Linked DNA regions of Sus scrofa. The protein of the gene in region 2 purifies or fractionates together with the protein of the main gene of each other region. This does not show direct contact. Links are inferred from orthologs where the notes say so. Each region holds a gene or a part of one and is shown on either strand. Other genes may lie near its edges.

Region 1 (7,266 bases), on a different chromosome or scaffold from region 2:
GAAGTACCATCAGCTAGTTTCAGGAAGTGTCATTTACTGGTAACTATTTTGTGTTGTTTTAAATACAAATCTATGATTTAAAGCGTATTTAAGTTTCCAAGAGGGAACACTAAAATTCAACACACCTTCCTAACTTAATTTTTGAGGAATCGAAGGGTACGTTAATGACTTCATAAAATACACAGATCTTAAATCAACATCACATTGGACCTAGAGACATTCCCATTACAGTCAGGAACATGGCAAAGAATATATTGTCTAACATTCTGGCAGTTCTAGCCAATGCAACAAGACATGAAACAAAAATAAAACGTATTTTTTCGGAAAGTAGGAGACAAAATTTTTCTTCTGTGAATGTTACTCGACAGCCTATTTTGAAAAGTGCAAGGGAAATCCATTAAGTAAGAGTTCATTGAAGAGACTAATTACAAAGTCAGCATGCAAAATTCAGTTAGTTTTTCTACATTTTTACCAATAATCAGTTTGAAAATATTAAGAGGGTATGTAACAACAAAAAAATACTCCTGAGTATAACCTGAGGTACAGAACGAAGTTGTTATTTTGGGGTTAGCATCTGTTGAGGTTTTTTAAGAGGGGTGGTTTTGTTTGTAGAATACTGTGCTTTTATTTAGAATAATGTTCAACTCATTAAAATGCTCAGCTCATTGCAATTGAGTATCCAGGAGTTCCTACTCTGGTGCAGTGGATTAAGACTCCGACTGCAGCCGCTCTGGTTGCTTCAGAGGCCAGATGCAGTGGGTTGAAGAATCCCTAGTTGCTGCATATGTGGCATAGATCACAGCTGTGGCTCAGATTCATTCCCTAGCCTGGGAGCTTCCATATGCCATGAGTGCAGCCATTTTAAAAGAAAAAAAAATTGAGTATCTTAAGTGCTTAGCTTTTAAAAGCCTTTTAATCTTTGTTGACAATTTTATTTTTACAGATCTAAAAATGCTTATGTAAAAATATATTTGATTTTTGACAAATTTTCAATTAAGGCACCAGTTTAACAAATTGAATACCCCCAGTGAACTCTTTTTAAAAATTAAATTCTGGAGTTCCCGTCATGGCACAGCGGAAACAAATCCAGCCAGCAATCATGAGGTTTTCGGGTTAGATCCCTGGCCTCACTCAGTGGGTTAAGGATCTGGCGTGGCCGTGAACTGTGGTGTAGGTCGAAGACTCGGCTCAGATCTGGAGTTGCTGTGTCTCTGGCGTGGGCCGGAGGCAACAGCTCCCAATTGGACCCCTAGCCTGGGAAGCTCCATATGCCGCGGGTGTGGCCCTCAAAAGACAAAAAAAATAAATAAATAAACTCCCTCAGATGTTCTAACCTGAATTCAAAGTTTTATATGGTTGTTCTTTCTCTCAGATACATCACACTTCTAAAGCGTGAGCTTACAAACCTAAAAGTAAAATCTTTTCAAGGTCTTAACTCTTAGGCGTCTAATACTCATGTAAATGTAAGTCAGGTGTTTTGAAAGCATACTTTCAATTTAGTTACATTTCCTTAAGCATTTCAAGTTAAAGTTGTAACTAATAATCATGAATGTGTCTCATTCTCTTAAATGTTTCACATGAATTACTACAATGACTTAGAACTTAATCTAAAATGTAAGTGTTGATATGCTATTGTTTGATTTATTTTATTTTCTAATCTTATTTATGTAATTTCTTAGGCCTGCAAAATCACTTACCCAAGCAGTAGAAGCATTTTTATCATCTAGGGGATTGAAGTTACACTATCTAAAATTTGGGCCTAGATGAGGTTACATTTTTATTTATTTATTCATTTAATTTTGTTTTGTTTTGTTTTTGTGTTTTTAAGGCCGCACTTGTGGCATATGGAGGTTCCCAGGCTAGGGGTTGAATCAGAGCTACAGCTGCTACTAAGACTACAGAGCCTACTAAGGCTCTGTCAGCATGGTTTCTCTAATTTCAAGAACTTAGTGAAGATACGTAGAAGAAAGACTGCAAGGAAGCATACTAAACAGTGATTATCTCTGAATGATGTGAAATGGCATGTCTTTTATATGTACATGAAAACTTATGTGTATATACATATATACATATTTGTTTTTCTAAGGCCGCACCTGCAGCATATGGAGGTTCCCAGGTCTGATTGGAGTTATAGCTGCCAGCCTACACCAGAGCCACAGCAACACCAGATCCGAGCCATGTCTTCGACCTACACCACAGCTCATGGCAACGCCGGATCCTTAACCCACTGAGTGAGGCCAGGGTTCGAACGCACAACCTCACGGTTCCTAGTCAGATTCGTTTCTGCTGTGCCACGTTGGGAACTCCAAAAATTTTTATATTTAAGGTAAATAGTAGGTAAGCAGAAAACAGTAAGTGGTAATTAAGATGAATTTAACAGTGCTGTTTCTTAACAGTGAAAGGTTTTTTTGTTTTTTTAATTGAAATCTCTATAACTGAACAGGCGAGATCATCATTTTTATCATCTTGGTTTGTTTACAGAAGCCATGCAGTGACACCTACTAAGACTTGTTGGTAGCCATGTCGGAGCCCCACAGGGTCCAGTTCACCTCTCTCCCGGGTCCTCTGAATCCTGCGTTTTTGAAGAAATCCCGGAAAGAGGAGGTTGGGGGAGTAGAACAGCATCAGGACTCTGAGCCGGCTGCAGCAGCTGTTCGGATTACACTCACCCTCTTTGAGCCAGATCACAAGCGATGCCCAGAGTTCTTCTACCCAGAGCTGGTGAAAAACTTGCGAGGGAAGGTGAAAGGACTTCAGCCGGCAGACAAGGTACACCCCCACGGCCCAGGCTCACTGCACATCTCATGCCCAGGGTTGCAGAGGGTGGAGGCAGCGCTAAAGAAGCTTTGACCCCCTCACAAAGCAAGCACAAGGTTTGCTGGTTTTGCTTCTGGTAGGAAGGAATAGAATTCTTTCTAGAACCATTCCCTGATTTGCGTTAGAGAAAATGTATGGCAGATCCAAGGCTAATTTGAATTATGGTTAATAATATGAAGAAACAACAGATTTTTTCATGGAAAGGCTATAAATGTTACATGTAAATATGACCAGTCCCTTGGAGTTCCTGTCGTCATGTAAATATGACCAGTCCCTTGGAGTTCCTGTCGTGGTGGAATGGAAACAAATCTAACTAGGAACCATGAGGTTGCAGATTTGATCCCTGGCCTTGCTCAGTGGGTTAAGGATCCGGTGTTGCCATGAGCTGTGGTGTAGGCCGGTAGCTGTAGCTCTGATTCCACCCCTAGCCTGGGAACATCCGTATGCTGTGGGTGTGGCCCTAAAAAAAAAAGTAAAAAATATGACCAGTCCCTGGCTTTTCTAGTGCTGGAATTTCATGCTGGGCATTTCTCTTTTCCAAGGCACTCTCACACTGCCTAATAGGAAGGCAAGCAAGAAAAGACGCACACTGCTCATCTCTTCTGAATGCAATGATATTCTGGGAGTTCCCGCTGTAGTGCAGTGGGGTAATGATCCAGCTGGTCTCTGTGGTATTACCAGTTCAATCCCCTGTGAATGGGGTTATGGATCCAGCGTTGCTCTAGCTGTGGGATAGGTCACAAATGCGGCTCAGATTTGATCCCTGGCCCATGAATTTTTAAATGCTGTGGATGTGGCAGAAAAAGAGAAAAAAAACATGGTAATGTTCTGAATAGTTTCTTTACCTGTATGGATAGAAACTTTTTTTTTTTTTTTTTTTGCTTTTTAGGGCTGCACCCTCAGCATATGGAGATTCCCAGGCTAGGTGTCCAATTGGAGCTATAGCTGCCGGCCTACACCACAGCCACAGCAACGCAGGATTCGAGCCACGTCTGCAACCTACACCACAGCTCACGGCAACACCGGATCTTTAACCCACTGATCGAGGCCAGGGATTGAACCCGCAACCTCATGGTTCCTAGTCGGATTCGTTAACCACTGCGCCACGACGGGAACTCCCCTGATTTCTCAAATATTCTTAAAATGATTTTTTTTTCTGATAGATTTGTTTTACTTTTTTAGTATGGAACTTTTCAAATATGTGCAGTAGAGAGAGAATAGTATAAGACCCTATGTACCCATTATCCAGCTTCAGTTCTTATCCTTTGGAATTCATTAACTCTGTAAAAACTCTTTTTTTTTTTTTTTTTTTTTTTTTTTGGTCTTTTTAGGGCCGCACCCGCGGCATATGGAGGTTCCCAGGCTAGGGGTCTAATTGGAGCTGTAGCTGCTGGCCTACACCACAGCCATAGCAACGCCAGATCTGAGCCACATCTGCGACCTGCATCACAGCTCATGGCAATACTGGATTCTTAATCCATTGAGTGAGGCCAGGGATCAAACCCGCAACCTCATGGTTCCTAGTTGGATTTGTTTCCTCTGTGCCATGACAGGAACTCATAAAAACTTTTTATATTGGATTATGTACATAAGAAAAGTACAGGGAGTTCCCATTGTGGCTCAGTGGAAACAGATCTGACTAGTATCCATGAGGACGCAGGTTCGATCCCTGGCCTCACTCAGTGGATCGGGAATCCGGTGTTGCTGTGGCTCCGATTCAGCCCCTAGTCTGGGAACTTCCATATGCCTCGAGTGTGGCCCCCAAAAGACAAAAACAGACAAACGCACTAGGCTATCCTCTGAGGGAAAGGATGGTAGGATCCTGCATTTGGCAGCATTTGGATCTCTAGAGTGGCTCCTAGTGAAGTGAAGATTAGGTTGGTACCTGTCTCACAGCATGTCTGAGGTAGATGAGATCATGCAGCTGTAGTTTCTAGCAAATGGCTTCAGTGGCCAGTGCTCCTTCAGTCTAATCCATGGTTGTGCTATTTGGGGTGAATGCTTTTGAATAGGAGGATTCGCCACTTTTCTTTATTCCAAATAAAAATGTTTCCTTGATAAAGATCTGATTGGAAATTCCTAGTGTGGCTCAGTGGATTAGGAACCCAACTTAGTATCCATGAGGATGTGGGTACAATCCCTGGCCTTGCTCAGAGGGTTAAGGATCCAGGGTTACCACAAGCTGCTGCGCAGGTTGCAAATCTGGTGTTGCTGTGCTATAAGCCGGCAGCTGTAGCTCCAATTTGACCCCCAGCTACACCATGTGCAGCTGTAAAAAGAAAAAATAATTGGCTGAATGGAAGCCACTTGAGCCTGTGCCAAGAGTCATTCTGTTGTATGAAGGCCAGTGGACAGGATGAGAAAAAGTAATTTTAAATTCGTCCATGAACTCTTTTCCAAAGTAGGAGTAGTTTCCTCTTCCTTGAGAGGAAGACAAAGCAGTAGGCATTGGTTAAAGTATTTATGGACTCAAACCAAATCAGTAGGTCAATGGAAATTAGAACTCCATGCTCTGATTTTACCCTTTTTGGGTTCAGATGCCCTTCTCACTTGCAGAAAAATGTATGGGTGGCATACATAGAAAACTTTGAATTCCATTTCAGGGGTTCACTCCTGGCCTTCAGATTCAGAACTCCTGAATTGTCATGTCTGCTCTGCAGTGTTGAAAGCACAGTGTATTCTGACGTGTTCATGGATTAACTCATTCAGCCTGTATTCTTACAGTGAGAAGGCACTGTGCTAGACGCTGTGGACTATGTAAAGGTGGAGAAGTTGCTGTACCAGCCTCAAAGGGACTTGGCAGTCTGATGTTTTAGGAAGATTATATCAACATAGGTGACAGGAGTCACAATGTGGTAATTGTTTAAGTCTGGTACAAATAGAGGCCCTGCAGAACTTGGATAGAGAAGAGCTTATATTCCAGATGCTGTGTTTAGACAGAGCTGCACCGTCATACGTTCAGGAAATTGTGGATGACTACTATTTACAGGGTATTAAGCAATACACATTAAATCCAACACCACTCCAGGTTGGTGGGATTTCTTAGAATTATTTGAACGATTTAGGTTATATCTCATCATTGTGGAAAAGCTAGAAGGTTCAGACAAGCTGTTTTGAAGACCATCCATTTTTGTGTGTACAATGTATGTATGCTGTTTAACATACTGGTATAGGTGTATTCTAAATCATTTAGCTGATCCTTTGTGAGTGAGAGGGATTTCAGTGGGAAGAGATGGGAGAGTGAGATAGAATTTTGTTTTTTGAACAAGCATCCAATCTCTAGTGTTTTTGGAATACTCTGGAGTCTTAAGTGTATTTGGTACTGGAATCTTTTATTTTTAACTCAAGTGAATTTTATATTTATAATTGTACAACCATCATCACAACCCAATTTTACAACATTTCCATCCCAAACCCCCAGCCCACCCCTCCCCTTCCCCACAACCTGTCTCCTTTGGTAACCATAAGTTTTTCAAAGTCTGAATCGCTTTTTGTTCTGCCAAGAAATTCATTGTACACTTTTTCTAGATTGCACATAAAAGTGATAGCATATGGCATTTGTGTCTCACTGTCTAACTTAGCATAATTTTTAGGTCTATCCATGTTGCTGCAAATGCCATTATTTCATTCCTTTTTATGGCTGAGTAATATTCCATTGTGTATATGTACCACATCTTCTTTATCCACTCCTCTGTTAATGGACATGTAGGTTGCTTCCATGTCTTGGCTATTGTATATAGTGCTGCAATGAATATTGGAGTACGTATATTTTTTTGAATCATGGTTTTTTCTGGGTAGATGCCCAGGAGTGGGATTGATGGATCAAATGATAATTCTGTTTAGTTTTCTGAGGACTCTCCATACTGTTTTCCATAGTGATTGCATCAATTTACATTCCCACCAACGGTGTAATGGAGTTCCTTCCCTTTTCTGCACACCCTCTCTGGCATTTATTGTTTGTAGACTTTTTGGTGATGGCCATTTGGCTGGTATAAGGCGGTACCTCATAGTGGTTTTGATTTGCGTTTCTCTAATAATTAGTGATGCTGAACATCTTTTCTTGTGTTTTTTGGCCGTCTGTATGTGGTCCTTGGAGGATTTTCTTTCTTTTTTTTTTTTTTTGTCTTTTTGCTATTTCTTTGGGCCGCTCCCGCGGCATATGGAGGTTCCCAGGCTAGGGGTCTAATCGGAGCTGTAGCCACTGGCCTACGCCAGAGCCACAGCAACGCAGTATCCGAGCCGCGTCTGCAACCTACACCACAGCTCACGGCAACGCCGGATCGTTAACCCACTGAGCAAGGGCAGGGACCGAACCCGCAACCTCATGGTTCCTAGTCGGATTCGTTAACCACTGCGCCACGATGGGAACTCCAGGATTTTCTGTTTAGGTCTTCCACCCATTTTTTGATGGGGTTGTTTGTTTTTTTTTTGGTATTGAGCTGCAGGAGG
Region 2 (7,812 bases):
ATTCACTCACTCCATAGACATCCTGGGGCAGGTGTTGTCCTGAGCCTGGCTTTCTTGAGCTAGGCTTTGAGAAAACAGCTGGCTGGTGCACTGCACGTTGCCCCCAGGGAGCCTGCAGTTTGAAAGAGAGAGCCCCCCCTCTGAACCCACAAGCTGAGCAGATAGTGGCCACAGAGGCTGCTCTGTTGAATGTCCTGGGTGGGTGATGATGTGCTATCACCATCCTGCCCCTAACATGCCTACGTCCAGGGTTGAGGGGAGAGTATTACTGGGGTGAGGCAAGCTTTCCAAGTGCCCGGTGGCCTAGGGCAGGCTGGCCTGGGAGCCCTTGGTGGGAGTACCTGGTGAGAGGTCTTGAAATGAAGCATTTGCCATGGAGTTGATGACATCTTTTTCTCTGTCTCCTGAAGGATAATTATCCGCTTTCTCCCTTTGGAGCCCTGGCAGATCGGCAAGAAAGGGACAATCATGACTTTTTTGTGATTGGCATGGAGGGCATCCAGGACATCTGTAAGCTGGCAGCCCCTTCCAGAGAGGTCTCCCGGCAGGGTGAGGGTCTGATGGATGCCAACTTCTGTCACCCCCACGTCCAGACATGCCTGTGACCTCACCTGACAAATAAACAAAAAAAGCTTTTGTCTCTCAGACATGATCTCTCTGCCTCCCTTTACTCTTCCCCAGCATTCTGGGCCACCCTGGGCAGCAAGGATAGTTTATCAGGTGGGGAACCTTAGGGAACATGGGAGGTGGGATGTTTCTGTCTTATACATTGGCTGCTCAAATCTGAGGTCTGCAGGGCTCAGCGTGCTCCATGCCCATGTTCAGGTTAGTGGGGAGGGGCTGGCAGCTGGTCTAGCCTGGGCTTTCCTGCAGACTATGCTGACCAGATGTTCTGATCCTCAGTCTTTTTTTCTTAATGTCTTTTTTTTTTTTTAGGCCTGCACCTGTGGCATATGGAGGTTCCTAGGCTAGGGGTCTAATTGGAGCTACAGCTGCCAGCCTACACCACAGCCACAGCAACGCCGAGCTGCATCTGTGACCTACACCACAGCTCATGGCAATGCCGGATCGTTAATCCACTGAGCAAGGCCAGGGATCAAACCTGCAACCCCGTAGTTCCTAGTCGGATTTGTTTCCCCTACGCCACAACGGGAACTCCTATCCTCAGGATTGACAGTTCACTGCCCATGGACTGCTGTGCCTGGGAGGGGAGCAGTGGGGCTGGGCTTCAGGGACCTTCCCAGGACCCTGCCAAACTCCATGTCCCATAAATCTTGCTGATAATTCTGTTACTGTGTGCCCTGTGAAATCCATGGCCCAGGATGGCAAACCCGGAAATGGCTGTCTTTAGAAACAGAATGAGTAAGATCCCACCCCCTTATCTAAAGACCAAATCCTGCTTTGGCATTTCAGAGGATATACAGGTGGGGTGGGGGAAGCCTCAAAGAAGCCTCCTCAGTTTCCTTGCAGGTTTGGTTTTTTTTTTTTTGGTCTTTTTAGGGCTGTATCTGTTGCATATGGAAGTTCCCAGACTAGGGGTCAAATTGGAGCTGTAGTTGTCTGCCTATATCATAGCCATAGCACCTCAGGATCTCAGCTGCATCTGCGACCTATGCTGCAGCTCACAATAACGCCAGATCCTTAACCAAGTGGGGCCAAGGAATGAACCCACATCCCTCATGGATACTAGTCCAGTTGGTTTCCAACGAACCACAACGGAAATTCCATCAGTTTTCTTCCAGATGTTTGATGCTGAGTTTAAATCTCAGACATTTGTGGGCACTATGTTTCCCTACACAGTTAAAGCTTTCATCATCCTGTGCACCAATGAAATACCAAACAGATTTTTAGTCTATGCAGTCCAGGTGCATTTCCAAAGGAATGCACCTGTGCCTGGTCTTTGTACCTAACCAATGCCAAGTTCCTGCCCCTTGCTTCCCTTCCTGTTTCTGCACTTTTTCCTGCCAACATGAATGTCCCGCTTCTCAAAGGGACATGGGGAATGTTTGTGGGTTGAATGTAAATGAATGGTTGAAGTGCCCAAGGAGGGATTCAGGCCTAACCCTTGCCAGGGCCAGTCTGGTCTTCCCACCTCAATCTTTCATCACTGTAGTGACTGGCCCCTCCACCAGCTTGGCAGTATCTCTCCCCACTGTGCTCCTGAGCTTTGCTGCTTAACACCAGACTGCATGATGTTCCTGCATGGCCTGCACTCTTAACTCTAAACCCTTGCCACACAGCTTCCTGCTGCTTGGACCACCTTTATCTCTTTTTTTCTTTTTAAATTAAATTTTTTTTTTTTCTTTTTAGGGCTGCACTCACAGCATATGGAGGTTCCCGGGCTAGGGGTCCAGTTGGCGCCACAGCCACAGCCACCCAAGACCCAAGCTGTGTCTGTGACCTATACCTCAACTCACGGCAATGCCAGATCCTTAACTCACTGAGCAAGGCCAGGGATCGAACCCACAACCTCATGGTTCCTAGTTGGACTCGTTTCCGCTGCACCACAACGGGAACTCCCGCATCTTTTTTTCAATTGTTTTACTTCAGAGCATCTTTCAGGGGGTGGGAGCTGCGTCCAAGGCTGCAAGTCATTCATGAAACTTCTAAACCATCTGCTTACTCTCTATTTACAGCTCCCCACCCCTGCCCAGGTTACACTCCTTTCAAAATCAAGCTTGGTGACTCAATTATTTTTGTACCTCCTGGCATATCATTAAAGCTTTACTGTACTGAATTGAGTTCTTCAGCATGATTTTACCGTCTTTAAACAAAGTCAAAGAGAAAGGGCGTAAGATTCATCCTTCTTTTTTTGGCCAGGCTCACAGCTTGTGGAAGTTCTCTGGATCAGGGATTAAACCCAAGCCACAGCAGTGACAAGGTCAGATTCTTCTTCTTCTTCTTTTTTTTTTTTTTTTTGTCTTTTTGCCATTTCTTGGGCCGCTCCTGCGGCATATGGAGGTTCCCAGGCTAGGGGTCGAATCAGAGCTGTAGCTGCCAGCCTACGCCAGAGCCACAGCAATGCGGGATTCGAGCCGCGTCTGCAGCCTACACCACAGCTCATGGCAACGCCGGATCGTTAACCCAGTGAGCAAGGGCAGGGATCGAACCCGCAACGTCATGGTTCCTAGTCGGATTCGTTAACCACTGCGCCACGACGGGAACTCCAGACAAGGTCAGATTCTTAAACCGCTGAGCCACCAGGGAACTCCTAACATTCATTCTTATTTAAATCATACTTCCTGGACTCATGCACCTATAAATCTGAACCAGGGAAGCCCTTCCCTAAAATGCTTAGCTCCCAAGAGCGTAACATCTCAGTCCCAGCCGGTTGTCAGAAACCCTCTTCCAGGCTCTTAAATTCTGTTGTTCCCTCCCCCGCCCGTTCACCTCCCAACAGACTACCCGCCCTCCGCTCCCCGCCCCCAGTACTCTCTGCTTCAATAGTTCGTTGTATCTGTGGTTTTTAGGCTTCAAATCCTTTTCGGAAAAAGGTGAGCCACGGGCATAGGAATGAGAATATTGTTACTCCCTTGGTCCCCTCCAAGTGTCCCCAGGTTTCCACCTTCCGAGCACCTGTCGCAGTTGGAACACTGCTGCCGATTACTTAGCAGGTGTCACCAACCGCGCTGCAGATTACCGCCAAGAGGCCCTCAAGGTCCCCGCGCGCTGGCTCTCGGGAAGGCGCGTGCGGGCTCGCCGATTGGCTGGCGGAGCCGGCTCCCGAGCCAATGGGAGCGCTCCTTGTTGTCAGGCGCGCAGTCCTTCCGACGGGCGCGGGGGTCCGGCGGACGGCCTGTTGCCGTGGAGACGACTCGTGAGTTCGCGTACTGCAGGTTTGGGGAGGCCCCGGGCTGGGGTGAGGCTTGGAGGTGTGGTGCTGAGGAGCGGCTGGCTGGGGGCTGCTCACGGAAAAACCCAGGCTGGGAGCCCGAGCGGCCGAGCCAGGCCCCACTGCCGCGCGAACCTCTTGGCGGCTCCCGCTCCGCTTGGGGCCTGGGGCGGGGGTCTCAGGAACGCTGTGGGGGTCTCAACAACTCAGCCGTCCCGTCTGCGGTCGCGGAACAGGGCCCCGCACCCACCCTTGCTGCGTGTCCTTCCACTTAACCTTCGCGGCGGCGCTGCGCGGCGGGCACCAGGTGGGCGCCCCTCGCGGGATGGGGACTGAGGCCGAGAGGTGGTGCGGCCGCTTGTCCCAAGTCCCCAGCTTCCCGGCAGGCTAGCCGACTCCAGACTAAAAGCCTGGACCCACTGCCGTCCCGGAGGAGGCCAGGTGGAGCTTTCTGACGTCGGCAGGTGTCTGCACAGGCGGCTTTAGGGGTTCCTTCACCCCTTGGTGAAGGGCCTACTGTGTATGCGGACCAAGCGGCTGGGGTTCTTTCTGTGTGGTACATAACCGTGGTTAGGACCCATGTGTCCTCAGAGACGTCTGGTTCAGGGGTCAGCAAACTTCGGTTCTAAATAGAGTAGTTTATATGATACTATTCCTTGTGACAATAATGAGTGTAATTGTGCTTATAATGAGGAGGGGGCATAGTTTTCTTAGCTCTGTTGCTGTATTGTGGACACAGCCAACGACAGTTCGTAAAGTTGTTTCAAGAAAATTTCATTTAGGGACACTGAAGTTGCAATTTTATGTTGTCAGTAATTTTCATGTGTCATGAACTTTTCAACCATTTAAAAATGTAAAAAGTGGGAGTTCTTGCCATTGTACTGTGGGTTGTGCTGCCCACCCTAGCGTCTTGGGTTGCTTCTGAGGCAGGGGTTCAATCCCCAGCAGTGGGTTAAAAAGATCGAGCTTTGCGGCAGCTGCAGGGTAGGTAGGTTGCAGCTGTGGCTCAGATTCAATCCCTGGCCTGGGAGCTTCCATATGCCATGGGTATGGCCATTAAAAAAAAAAGAAAAAGAAAAAGCCATTCTTTGCTCTTGAGCTGTACAGAAACTGTGGGCTTGGTAGCTTGTGGATCCCAAGTCTAGCCCAAAGCCTCATACAGTGGAGGGAAATGACCTAGAGACCGGCATCTGATGCCATGTCAGTCACACGGCCCAGGCTTCCCCATTCCCAGGCCAGAGCCTGCTAAGAAACATCACCCCTTATCACTGGATCTGGGTGAGGTGCTCAGGGTGTGCTGTTGTCATGTGTTCTGAGGGCCATGAAAACTGTACCATAAAGATTTTGGAAACTCATGAGGTTTAAGTCCTGAATGTGCCTTTTTGGTTTTTTAAAATTTTATGGTCCCACCTGTGGCATAATGGAAGTTCCCCAGGCCAGGGGTTGCATCACAGCCACAGCTTTGACCTGTGCCACAGCTGTAGCAAAGGGGGATCCTTTAACCCACTGCGCCCCGCTGGGGATAGAACTGGAGCATCCACAGCACTCCACCAGTTACTTAGTCTTTACTAAACTTCTAAACTTTTTGGCCTTGCTGAGTTTTTCGTTTGTTTGTTTGTTTGTTTTGCTTTTTTAGGGCCCAACCGGCAGCATATGGAAGTTCCCAGGCTAGGGGTTGAATCAGAGCTTCAGCTGCCGGCCTACGCCACAGCAATGCAGATCTGAGCTGAGTCTTCTATTTAGACCGCAACTCATGGCAATGCCAGATCTTTAACCTGCTGACTGAGGCCAGGGATCCAACCTGCATCCTCTTGGACACTACGTTGGGTTCTTAGCCTGCTGAGCCACAGTGGGAACTCCCAGCATCATGTTTTTGTGGTTCATCTGTGTTTTCATTAGTTCATTCCATTTTATGGCTGATTGATATTCCATTGTATGGCTGGACCACATTTTGTTTATCCAGAAATTAGTTGATGGCCATTTGGGTTGTTTCTTCTCTTTGGTTATTATGAATAATGTAGCTGTGAACATTCCCTCATGGATTTTGCAGCTGCAATGTTACTTCATTGTATGGAGGTGCCATAGTTTATTTATTCATATCCTGGACTATCTGTGGCCATTTAGGTGGTTTTCAAGATCTTGCAATGGCAAACAGTGCTGGAACCCTGTGCATATGTATTTTTACATGGTTGGAGATGCATCTTCAGGGTAGATTCCTAGGATTGCTGGCTTGAAAGGTAAGTGCATTGGTGATTTTGTTGCCTGTTATCATACTCTTTTCCAGAGGGGCTATACTAGTTTGTTTGTTTTTTTTGTGGGGGGCTTGTACCAATTTGCATTCCCACCAAAGGTGTTTGAGAGTAGTGCCTGTTTCCCCACAACCTTACCACCAAGAGTGTGCCTTTGTGCTTTAGTTTTTGCCAGTGTGTTAGGTGAGAAATGGCATTTCAGTGGGCATCCTTTATTGCTGGTATTAAAGGAAGTCCTTCTGGTGTTACTTCATTTAATAAATTTTGGCTTTAGACTAAGGTATGTGTGTTTTAACATTGTTAAGAAAATTCCAGGAGTTCCCTGGTGGCACAGCAGGTTAGGGGATCTGGTGTTGTCACTGCTGTGGCTTGGTTTGGCCAAAAAAAAAAAATATATATATATATAGAATACAGAAAATTCTGGTTTTCTTGAGGTGCCTTTTTTTTTTTTTTTTTTAATATCATGAATAGGTGTTGAATTTTGTCATAGGCTTTCTTTTCTATGGAGATAATCCTTTCTATTGCCCCCTCTCCCTCCGCCCACGGATGAGTACACTGTGTTTTTACGTATGTGACGTGTTTTCATTGTTTGTATTTCTTTAAATGTCTAGAATTTTAGTTGCATTTCCTTTTCCCTGGAAGTTGTTTAATATGAGGTTTTTACATTTTTATTTTTATATTTTTAAAATTTATTTATTTTTATTTTTATTTTTTGCTTTTTAGGTCTGCACTTGCAGCATATGGAGGTTCCCAGGCTAGGGGTTGAATTGGAGCTGCAGCTGCTGGCCTACACCACAGTCATAGCAAGAGGAGATCTGAGCCACGTCTGTGACCTACACCACAGCTCACCACAACGCCGGATCCTTAACCCACTGAGCGAGGCCATGGATTGAACTTTCGTCTTCATGGATGCAGGTCATGTTTGTTAACTGCTGAGCCATGAAGGAAACTCCGGTTCCTACATTTTTAGACATAAGGACTTTTCTTCCTCTGCTACTGGTGGGGTGGTTGTCACTTACCTAGTTTTAAGTTATTAGGGAGTGTCGTTTTTATTTTTTAATCTTATAATGATTTTTATATTTTTTTGCATTATAGCTGGTTTACAGTGTTCAGTCAGTTTTCTACTGTATAGCAAGGTGACCCAGTCACACATACATGTATACATTCTTTTTTCTCACATTATCATGTTTCATCATAAGTGACTAGCTACAGTTCCCAGTGCAGGATCTCATTACTTATACATTCCAAAGGCAATAGTTTGCATTTGTTAACTCCAAATTCCCAATCCATCCCACTCTCTCCCCCTCCCCCTGGCAACCACAAGTCTGTTCCCCATGTCCATGATTTTCTTTTCTGTAGAAAGATTTCATTTGTGCTGTATATTAGATTCCAGGTATAAGTGATATCATATAGTATTTGTCTTTCTCTTTCTGACTTACTTCACTTAGTAAGAAAATCTGTAGTTCTATCCATGTTGCTGCAAATGGCATTATTTTGTTCTTTTTTATGGCTGAGTAGTATTCCATTGTGTGTATATACCACATCTTCTTTTTTTTTTTTTTTTTTTTTTTCTGTTTTTTGCCATTTGTTGCGCCGCTCCTGCGGCATATGGAGGTTCCCAGGCTAGGGGTCTAATCGGAGCTGTTGACACCAGCCTATGCCAGAGCCACAGCAGCGCGGGATCTGAGCCACGTCTGCGACCTACACCACAGCTCACGGCAACGCCGGAAC

What was found.
Region 1: the proteins of CABIN1 (region 2) and UBN1 purify together in Homo sapiens (affinity purification with western blotting; 6 studies listed by BioGRID, with this or other methods). This does not show direct contact. The link is inferred for Sus scrofa from reciprocal best matches to the Homo sapiens genes CABIN1 and UBN1.

Annotation. Positions count from the first base shown.
Region 1 is NC_010445.4:37,546,819-37,554,084, reverse strand, and holds part of UBN1 (ubinuclein-1), read left to right. Parts: intron 1-2,481; 5' UTR 2,482-2,520; coding exon 2,521-2,769; intron 2,770-7,266. UniProt on the Homo sapiens protein: Acts as a novel regulator of senescence. Involved in the formation of senescence-associated heterochromatin foci (SAHF), which represses expression of proliferation-promoting genes. Binds to proliferation-promoting genes.
Region 2 is NC_010456.5:49,783,634-49,791,445, reverse strand, and holds the start of CABIN1 (calcineurin-binding protein cabin-1), read left to right. Parts: upstream 1-3,732; 5' UTR 3,733-3,836; intron 3,837-5,956; exon of another isoform or gene 5,957-6,069; intron 6,070-7,812. Other genes in the region: DDT (D-dopachrome decarboxylase), read left to right, coding at 411-483. UniProt on the Homo sapiens protein: May be required for replication-independent chromatin assembly. May serve as a negative regulator of T-cell receptor (TCR) signaling via inhibition of calcineurin. Inhibition of activated calcineurin is dependent on both PKC and calcium signals.